3 linked regions of the Yarrowia lipolytica genome follow. The protein of the gene in region 2 interacts with the protein of the main gene of each other region in a pairwise test. Links are inferred from orthologs where the notes say so. Each region holds a gene or a part of one and is shown on either strand. Other genes may lie near its edges. The genes, in order: YALI1_B24292g, YALI1_E19201g and YALI1_F02697g.

What was found.
Region 1: the proteins of YALI1_E19201g (region 2) and YALI1_B24292g interact in binary tests that used the Saccharomyces cerevisiae proteins (3 or more experiments, as listed by UniProt). The link is inferred for Yarrowia lipolytica from reciprocal best matches to the Saccharomyces cerevisiae genes CDC14 and CKA2.
Region 3: the proteins of YALI1_E19201g (region 2) and YALI1_F02697g interact in binary tests that used the Saccharomyces cerevisiae proteins (3 or more experiments, as listed by UniProt). The link is inferred for Yarrowia lipolytica from reciprocal best matches to the Saccharomyces cerevisiae genes CDC14 and SWE1.

The regions. Positions count from the first base shown.
Region 1 is NC_090771.1:2,428,006-2,430,910, reverse strand, and holds YALI1_B24292g (uncharacterized protein), read right to left. Parts: upstream 1,659-2,905; coding exon 630-1,658; downstream 1-629. UniProt on the Saccharomyces cerevisiae protein: Catalytic subunit of a constitutively active serine/threonine-protein kinase complex that phosphorylates a large number of substrates containing acidic residues C-terminal to the phosphorylated serine or threonine.
Region 2 is NC_090774.1:1,918,545-1,922,302, forward strand, and holds YALI1_E19201g (uncharacterized protein), read left to right. Parts: upstream 1-1,600; coding exon 1,601-3,295; downstream 3,296-3,758. UniProt on the Saccharomyces cerevisiae protein: Protein phosphatase which antagonizes mitotic cyclin-dependent kinase CDC28, the inactivation of which is essential for exit from mitosis. To access its substrates, is released from nucleolar sequestration during mitosis.
Region 3 is NC_090775.1:267,127-270,884, forward strand, and holds the start of YALI1_F02697g (uncharacterized protein), read right to left. Parts: upstream 2,602-3,758; coding exon 1-2,601. Other genes in the region: YALI1_F02701g (uncharacterized protein), read right to left, coding at 2,634-3,034, 3,088-3,103. UniProt on the Saccharomyces cerevisiae protein: Protein kinase that acts as a negative regulator of entry into mitosis (G2 to M transition) by phosphorylating and inhibiting the mitosis-promoting cyclin B-bound CDC28 at 'Tyr-19'.

The sequences.
Region 1 (2,905 bases), on a different chromosome or scaffold from region 2:
GGCTGATCTCACTCAGAGCTAGTCATCAAGATCAAGAGCAAGATCGATCTTGTACACATCCGATCTCAAGTGACGGACCTTCTATACATAGCACATACACTGCAAAAACAACAAATGTTGACAGTCCCAAGTCTGTCATTAATATTTCCCCTTCGACATTCCTTTTCTCACCAATTGTACTCTATTTTTTTCCACCTTAGACTTTCGCTTACGCCATATAAGCCTTGGATTAGGCAGACTGATGAGACAGTGCGAGGTAAAAAGAAAACATCTCGGAAGTCAATTTGAGAATATTAGGGCTGGGGATTTTGCTGAATACCTGTAAATTGTTAGATTTCAGCAGTTGATCATAGCGTAGAACGCGATATCTCGTGTATGTGCCTCTCGTACTCGAGGATAAAGCTACAATATCGTAACTCCGAAGCTTCTTGGAGGTGACTCAGCATCTACAGTATATACAAGCATGGTGAAAGGTCAACTGAGATATTATTATTTATGCTTATCTTAACTCGATTACTACTGTAGGGGCTCATTCTCTTGTCATTACTCATATCATACATGCCATTAGAATACAATGCAGTTAAACTTGGGTGTTGTGTACACGTCCGATCTCCTCCCCATTACCCTCTCTACTGAGCATTAATACTTCGCAAGTCGTCCCTGACCGGGTCAAAGTACTCGTGGTCCATGGCCTCCCGGGCCGTCAGTCTCTCCTGATGGTCGTATCTCAGAATCTTGTCCAGAAAGTCAATGGCAGTGGGGTTAGCGATGGCCTGGGTGGCACTGGTGACAAACTTCTCCCACGGCTGTCGGGGGTATGTGCCGAGAATGTCGTTGTAAATGTCGGGCAGCTTGAGGCCGTACTTGGTCAGACACTTGTACATGTCCGACGTACCCAGCACCTTGGCAATCTCCACCAGCTGGTTCTGGTTGGACGAGCCGTGGAAAAAGGGGTCCTTTCGGAAGATGATGCCGGCCAGAGTGCAGCCCAGCGACCACAGATCCAGCGAATAGTCGTACTGTTGCAGGTCGTATAGCAGCTCGGGGCCCTTGTAGCATCGAGACGCCACTCGGACGTTATAATAGGTGCCCGAGTGATAGAACTCGGCCAGACCCCAGTCGATGAGTCGCACCTTGCCCCGTCGAGGGTCGTACATGATGTTATGGGGCTTAACGTCTCTGTGCATGATTCCCTTGGAGTGGGAGTACTCCAGGGCCACCAGCACCTGGTAGATGTAGTATCGGATGTCGTAGTCCTTGAACTTGGGGAACACCTGTCGGAAGTCGACATTCTCCACGTACTCAAAGATGAGAGAGGGAGTTTTGTTGACTGGATCACGCACCACGTCCAGAAGAGACACAATGTTAGGGCCAGCCGCCACGTTCTGTAGAATCTTGATTTCTCGCTTAATCTTCTTCTTTTTCACGGGCTTCAACACCTTGATGACACACTGCTGCTTGTTGACCACACAAACGCCCTGAAATGCCTCCGAGTACTTGCCCCGGCCGATTTTGCGGTAGATTTCGTAGTTGTCAATGTTGCCCCAGGTTATCGTGAGGTTATCGTAGTCCCAGTACTGCTGGGGCATTTTGGCGTTGACGTCCGCAAATACCCGCGCAACCGAGTACGGGTTTTTCGATCGCGGTTCCATGCTCATGTTGGATGTCGGGTCTTTCTGTGTCTGTTTGAGCAGATGGATGACTCTGGCCAAGGGGTGTTTTTTTTATCACTATCATGCACCCAAACTCTATCGTTGGGAGGAGTGGTCAGAGGGTCTCATAAAAGGAGGAGGTTGTGGGAGAGGTGTGTGGGAGGTTAGGGTATTAAAAGATTCACGAAGATGAGGAGAATCCATCGCCACGTTTCCTCGTATGTTCCTCGTCTACGTCGTCCACAGAGTGCTATATTATACCCCGTTATTTCACTTAGGGTTCAGCCGCAGATAGTGACTGTTGGGGTTAAGAGTCAAATTATCGAGAGATGTTGGAGAGTCGTGTCCCTGTTCCGTACGAGCGGCACCTCAAAACACAGACGTTTGGTGAAGCTGATGGTCATTGGCATCAGATGTAACTTCTCTAGACTGCCTATTAATGTTGGCTTAGGTTTGCTAATGCTTACTAATAAATATCCCAAAATAGATCTGACTACAGTCGTATGCACTTCTGAGCTTCTTTAAATGTGGCTTGGTTACTTGGACAATCGGGACCCATTACTTGACGACTTATTCAAGGTTTTCGGGGTTGTTTTTCATTTTTCAGACATATGGCTCAGAGCTGGTACTGTATAGTATGATAGGAAGAACGTTGACTCGCCGCACATAAGTCAGGTAGATGTTACAATACAGCTATAAAGGCTCCTGCTTACCAGTACAAATGTGGCCACTTCTTTAAGACCCCCGATCCGCTTTATAGAAGGGGATTCCACCAAATATAGAGTCACAGAGAAAAAATACAATACAATGATGTTCAGCTGTTCATTTTTAGCAGAATGGTATACTGAAACATCCATATAACTGCCTGGTAAGTCTGTTGAAGCTCGCTGTGCTACTGTCCTCAGACCCATCAACCCAGTGGCGGCTGTCACCTTATTCCCTACAAAGTTATAGAGACGTCATGATAAGAGATTCACCATGAGCTATTGAAGCTACCAAACAGGCTAGAAACTTCACTAAATCCTTATGGTACGCCAGAGCCATGGTCATCAAATTTTCATTCTTCTCAGGCTTTCGCAACATCTTCAAACCTCGCCCACTTCCTCCCCATACCAATAACCCAAAATCTTCACCATGCATACAACTCAAAATCGTCCATCCAATATCAGACACGGTCAACACCCCTCACAGCACCCTCAGAAACCCCATTACAGCCCACCAATGCAGCCAAAGTTTTGAAACCTCACTATTAA
Region 2 (3,758 bases):
ATCATGCAGACAAACCAGATTCGGCGTTAGCGCTTTTAGTGCACGAGGCTCAGATGGTGGCTTATTAAGCAATGTGCGTCTAGTAAGCGACGTAGCTTATTAAGCAAAGATGCTTACTCAGCGGAGTGACTACTAAGTGACGAGACTTACTAAGCGGCACTGACAAGGGTACTGCAGAATCACATGTGTGGAGAGCAGCACCTGTTTTTGTCTCACGTGACTGATCACATGACCAAACAAAAAAAAAAAACAGAAAAAGCTCCCCGGCACCCTTCAACCATACGAGTTGTGTGCGCGTCCTTCTCCTTAGATGACGTAATTTAAGTGTGACCAGTCACATGACCACCCCCTTCACCGCTTCTTCCTGTATCTCACGTGACTGACTGGCTGGTCACGTGACCCCCACCATCACCCACTGCTCCCCCATCTCTACTGCGTCTTAGATGCATTGATCATGTGTAATGAACTTTAAATAATAAAGGTCGAAATTTCGAGGGGAAAATTGGACAATTTGAAAACTGTTTGAAATAGAATGTCATTATTTTTGCCTTATTCAGCTGACTCTGAATCAGTCTTTGAAATTGTGTTGTCGTCCTTAGTCAGCATTCTGGAGACCCCCCGTTGCACTGTTTGCACTGTTTGGACCATGTATAATTGTAAATAGGGGTCAAAACAAACAATGCGAGGCAGGCTGTCTGTGTGGCAGAGGTAATGAGCGACTGAAATGATTAGTCACAGGACGCGAGAGGGGTGGGAGTTATGTAACTAAAGAATTTACTCACGGGTTTTATATCTATCACGTGACCCTGCTCTCCCGCTCACTGCTAAGCGCTTACTCAACACCGGATCCACCTAGCAACGGGCCCATGTCTCGGTACATAGCGTTCAACGGGGAACCATAATGGTCATAACCATAACACGAGTGTGATTAAGACGAGTTGGATTTCCAGACAGTCAATTGGTCTGCTGGAAAGGGAGTTAGTAAGACGGCGTTACGTAATTGAACATACTCCCTTGATACGATGACTAAGTTGAGTGATCAAGCCCCCATTTGGGCTTTGTCATCAACCTCCTGATTTTTTTTTGATCTTGACACTGTTTGTATTTATACAAAATATAGTTTGGGTCTAAATGTGTTTGTGTAGTTTCAAATTTCAATCACATTTTATTGACGCTGTGTTGGGATTATTATTAATATAAAACTACCATTGTAATTCACTCATTTCATGCTACAAAATGCACTTTTCAGAATCGAAAAATATCCAGTCAATCGTCCCACAGACCCACAGTTTTATTTATAGGGTTAGGGCTTCCCAATACGGCTCGTCCCAAACATAAACAAGCCCGAACCTTATCAGTTCACTAACAAGTATATGTGTAGATGTTTTTGAGATCTTCTTGAGCAGAGTCTGTGGAGTTGTTTGTGCGATAGAAGCGAACGTTTGCACCATTACATTTTTGTGCGTGCCCATCACCTTGTCCTTGTCGTCCCCACCACATTGCCAGTGTCACCACTACATTGCCAGTGTCACCATTACACCATCTAGGTCACCCCAACTACAACACCTTCACCACCTTCATTCCTCCACTCCACACTACGATGAAAAAAGTGGAACCAATCGAGTTCCTCAAGGACCGGGTCTATCTCGGAGCATATGCGCACACCCCCAAGGACACCGAGACGACCGTCTACTTCACGGTCGACGATGCTCTTCCCTACAACCCGTTTCATCTGGATTTCGGGCCTCTGAATGCCGGTCATCTGTACCGATTTGCGGTTGCTCTTCACGAGATTCTGGCGGAGAACGAGGACAAGGCGGTCATGTTCTACTCGTATCCTGATCCCCGATACCGAGCCAATGCCGCCTGTCTTCTGTGTTGTTACATGGTGTTGATCCAGTCGTGGCCTCCTCATTTGGCATTGGCACCGATTGCACAGGCGGAGCCTCCGTTCATGCCGTTCCGCGACGCCGGCTACTCGACTGCTGACTTCATTCTCACCATCCAGGACGTGGTCTACGGGTGCTGGCGGGCCAAGGAAAAGGGCTTTTTGGACCTGCGCCACTTCAATCTCGACGAGTACGAGCAGTATGAAAAAGTGGACCAGGGCGACTTCAACGAGCTGCCTCCTCATTACATTGCGTTTGCGTCACCGCAGCAGGAGGACTTTCTCACCCCGCTGGACCACGCCTTCAACAACGTGCTCGACTACTTTGAGACCCACAACGTGCAGCTGGTGGTGCGTCTCAACTCGATTCTGTACGACGCTCGTCAGTTCGAGCAACGCGGAATCAAGCACGTGGACATGATCTTCGACGATGGCACCGTGCCCACCATGGACATGGTCAAAAAGTTTGTTGGCGCGGCTGAATGCATCATCGAACAGGGCGGCAAGATCGCCGTTCATTGCAAGGCCGGCCTGGGCCGCACGGGGTGTCTGATTGGCGCCCATCTCATCTACTCCTACGGCTTCACCGCCGCCGAATGTATTGCCTACATGCGGTTTCTGCGGCCAGGAATGGTGGTGGGCCCCCAACAACACTGGCTCTACCTCCACCAGAACGAGTTCAGAGACTGGAAACGAACCATGGTCGTCAGCGATACCCCCAGCTACAAGCTGGCCAACCTGCGACCCCTGGTGCCCATTGCCGACCAACAGTGCAAATTGAGACAACAATTGAGCGCTCTCCAGGACCAGATCCGGCGCAAGGAGGAACAATTGGGCTCTCTGGGAGCCTCCGCAGTAACCCATGACTCCATTCTGCCGTCAACCCCCCCGCCAAAAACACCCGAACGATCAATTCTCGGAGACATGGACCATTGCAACTCGATTCTGCCGGCCCCTACTCCCGGACAGCCCCGCAAAAACTCCCCCAGTCCGGCCCATCGATCTGGAAGTGTAGGCATTTCCGCCATCCGTCCCAAACGGTACATTTCCACTTCCCATGACACCGTCTACAACTCGGACGAGGAACGAGAAGGCTCGATCGCCTCGGCGCGACGAGTGGTCAGCAGCAGACAAATGCCGTCGCGTCAGCCGTCGCGGTCCGTGTCTGTGTCAGTCTGCGAGGACGTAGAGGGCTCGCTGATTGTCACGGCCTCTCATTCGCCCTCCCGACGACCCTCGCACCAGCAGCAGCTGCGGTCGCCCTCCAAACAGCTGGACTTCGACCAGGAGAACGACATGAAAAAGTCACCATTGAGGGTTCGGAGCGCATCCCGGCGCCAGGCATCGGTGCGACAAGTCAGTGGCGAGACCGGCGTGAGAAAGGTCTCCAGAACCAAGAGGTCGTAGAGATTTGGCGGTATTTAGATGACTGCATGATTTATCCACTGAGATGACTTGGTCACATGACCCATTCAAATGACCCAATCACATGACCCGATCAGATCACTTTGTCATTAACCCCCCTCTCACCCAGAACAGCTATCGGACACACTAGAATGGCATCCCACGCTAACAGATACCACAGTTATATGCATGGAACAGTATGTATGGATTAATAATGAATCACGTAATGGAATGGTCGTGTAGTGGTACACTAAGAGTGCGATACCTACGAGTACTCGTGTTCTGTGGAAGTGTGGATCTCCATGCCACGAACAACTTTTAGTAGTCATTGTCTCGCTTCTTCGTCTCCCGGACCTCCTTCTCAGCCAGATACTGTGGTTGAATGAGATCAACGCCGAGTCATTCAGATCTTTTCAGATCGTTCTCATGCTGTTCGGCTAAGACCCGGCCTTTGGAGAAGGGCGTG
Region 3 (3,758 bases), on a different chromosome or scaffold from region 2:
GAACAAAGGAGCCCAGTCGGGGGCCGCAGAGCTTCGCCTAATCACTGGGGGATGCATGTTTGTCGAGCTGGAAGTGTTGCCCGTGCTGGCTCCACCGTTTCCAGCAGTGCCAGACCTGGAAGAACCGGTGCTTACACCGCTAGAAGAGGTGGTGTTAGCCGTGGTGCAGCTTCGGAGAGAAGACGAGTGGATACCGTGGTGGTCAAACGGAGGCATGCACGATGGACTCAGCACTCCCCCATCCTCCTCGTACGACTTGCTCCCGCACTCAATCGCGTCTCGTTCTTGGCCCTGGGAAGAAGTAGGCTCTCCAAACTGATGATCAAATCCAGCCAGGTCGCCAGAAGAGAGCCGACCAGCATCGGTCAAGTCGCCAGACCGTAGCTTCTGCCAGTGGATGCCGTTATCGGGCAAAACCACGTTGGCAGCAATCTCCAGAATAATCAGACCAAACGAAAAGATATCCGCAGGCTTGTCGTACTCCTGTCGACTCAGCACCTCGGGAGCGATGTACTCCCGGTCTCCCTCCCGCTCGATTCCCCGAGCTGCTGGCCATGTTGTTGCCATTCCAAAATCGCCAATCTTGAGAGTGCCCTCAAAAGTGATGAACACGTTGGCTGGCTTGATGTCCAGATGCATAAAGCCCTCGTTGTGGATGTACCGGATACCGAGGGCAAGTTCCACGAGAATCTTCCACACTCGCCAGTCGTCCAGACGCGCGATTCGGCCGTTTTCAGCCAGAAAAACATCCAGACTGCCGTTTTCGCAGTACTCAGTCATGATGAACAGGAATCCATGGTACTCCCACGAGTCGACAAGCTGGACAATGAAATCGCGCCCGTCTTCGTCACGTTTCGACTCGGTCAGCTTACGAAGAACTTCGACCTCCTCCATTCGTCGAGCACGAGCCTTGGGGCCGGCAAAGGGGTACTTCATCTTCTTCACAGCGTAACGGTTGGGCGGCGTGAGGATGACCGAGGAACCCGCAGGCATCTTAACGCGCTCGGTGACCGTGTAAACGGATGAAAACTCGCCAGATCCAATCAGAGAGACGCTGTCAAACTTTTGACTAAGCCACGACTCGCCAGCAATCATGTTCTCAGCAGATTGGTCCTGGGAAGACCGTTTGGCCGGTGTCCGGGGATCTGCAAAGGTAGGATCACTGGAGAAGTTGGGCGAGTTAAAGGGATTGTCTCCATTTCCAAGAGGGGTCTCTGGTTCCATGATGGACGAGGCCTGACGAGTGATAGTCCCAGGGGTAATGGTGATCTGCGACCCATCTGACCGCTGGTGACTTGCCTTGGCCAGAGAAGACAAGGATGTCAAAGAACCAATGTAAGACGCTCGTCTGTAGGGTCCCAGATTCGTGCTGCTGTTATTGCTGCTGCTGCCGTTGCTGTCATCATGGTTGTTAGTAGTGAGAGTTCGCTGGACGGATGGAAACGACTCACTCTCCTCCAGGGGCTTCGTAGGCGTGGAGGGAACGTCGTCCATGAACGAGGAGACTGCCGAACGCAGGTCGAATGCAAAGCGTGATGCTGAATCACGCAGCCCGCTTGGAGGGCCTGAGGGGATATTCTGGTGGCCGGTGGTGTTGATTGTGAGGGGCACTCTGTGAGCTCTACCGGAGGACGCAGACCTGTGACTGCTTCCGAGCATGCTGACACCCTCGTGGGAGACACTGCTGGTGAAGGGCCGGGGTGTGTTTCCGTCTCCTCTGAGTCCGTGCACGTCCTGCAAGCTCGAACTGCCGCTGGGTTTCTTGCAGGGCGTATCTGGAGGCACGAGAGAGTGGCCAGAAGATGAGTTGGGCAGGTTGCGCGTTCGTTTCGAAAGCAAGCCCGTGCTCATGAACGCAGTCTGCAGCGGTTTGACGAACCGGAACGAGTCTGGAGTGCCGTACTCCTTGTGTTCCACGTCAGCTATCTTTGTTTTGACGAGAGGATGCAAATGGGGTTGAGGATGATGAGGGTGCGGGTGCGAGTGGTGGGGGTGATGCGTTGGTGTTGGTGGCGATGATTCGACCGACGACGACATGAGATGGATCGTGGGCGGGTTATCTGACAATCGTCGTTCTCCTCCTCCTCCAGGAGGCACATTCTCTTGCTGGATGGCGGCCTTTTTGAATGGAGGCGCCTTGACCGGCGAATTGGGGTCAGAATCATGGAGTATCATCGAGTGGCGCGGTCGGTGGCTCCTGCTGGGGCTGCTGTCCATGTTGATATCTTCGAGCGACAGGTTGGACGCCTCTTCGAGGTTGTAGAGGCCCTTGGAGCGTCTTAGGGGCTGCATGGTTGACGAGTACACCGTGGGGGGCTCCGAGGCGCGCTGCTTGCTGGGACTGGGGCACGGCGAGAGGTCTGGCGGTAGGTCGTCGAGATTTGCCACCGTGTTGTTGCGGTGGATGGAGAGGTTGATAAGGGCGTCTGACGCTGAGTCGTCAAGCGACAGCGACGGTGACAGCTGTGGCGTGTTGGGCTTACTCTTTTTGAGCTTCACCTTGGACAGCGACGGTATGGAGGAGCGTGCCACCGAGTCGGGGCGGTGTTTGCGCCGGCGAGGCGACGGGGAGGCCGAGGGGGTGGCCGAGCTCATGTACATGTGAGTATGGGTATGTCGTGTTGACGCGTCGATCACGGTGTGAGTGTTGTAGTTTGGCGGTAGTTGTAATTCCGGTCAGGTTGTGTCGTCTGTTTCTTGTCGTGTCGTCTGTCTCGTCCTTGTGTATCGCGTCTGGTGGCGTTTTTCCCCCAAAAAAAATTAGTTGATGCGATTGTGGGTGAGGAATGTAGAAAAAGGAGCGTGTGCAAAGAAATGCAAAACTTTTCTGGAGGTCCAGTCGTGTCACAAACGCAGACCTGTTGCTCGGTCGGTCCTGCTGCTTTGCGTGTGACGTGTCGTGTGGGTGGCGCGAACGGTAGGTGAGCACTTGGGGGGTGCCTCTGGGGTTTGGAGACGCGAACAATGGTGGTGTTGGGTTGGGGGAGATTGGGACGGGTCTGTCTCCAGAGATGATGTGCGGAGCGGTGCGTCACTCCCAAAGTCTATGCATGGCCCAGGGTAGCGGTCTGATGGGGGCAAACAAACAGGCGCATGCGTCCATCACCCTCAGAGCGCGAAACCTAGAAGCCTATCCGAGCGAGCACACACACACACATCAAAACAGAAGGTGTGGGGGCTCGTCGGTTCTGAAGATGGGTGTAAGACAGTGAAGCCGGACGGACAGCCCAGAAGCAACCCGGAGGTGAATATTATGGGAGATAATTATGGTTCCATTCTGGCGGGCTTGTTTCTGCCCGGGCCACCATTGCCCAGTGCACGGTGGTAAACGCGTGTAGAGTTGGGAGAGTTCCGTAGGTACAGTAAGTTGAGGAAGAGGTGAATCTGTGAACGGGTCCAAGTGGAAGGAAGAACCGCACTTGTAGAGACATCGACGGAATGAAGGAAAAAGAAAGAGGAATTTACTCGTCAGATGTTCTCCCTACGGCTCGTTCTCCACCGTCAACACATGTCAAACTCGTCCTATTTGTACCGCCAATTTCATCGCTGTATTTGAACACTGGCCTTATTATTACGTATTGTCATTCAGGGGTCTTGGCACCCATTGTACTTTTTTCAATCAGACGCGTTCCAAAACTGCGCTATGAGTACAATACGATACAATAGTATGCATCAAGATACGAATCGTAGACGCAAAAATTATCAGTACGATCCTTGTATGTACTTGTGTCAGCTTCTAATCAAAATACGTCTCGTAA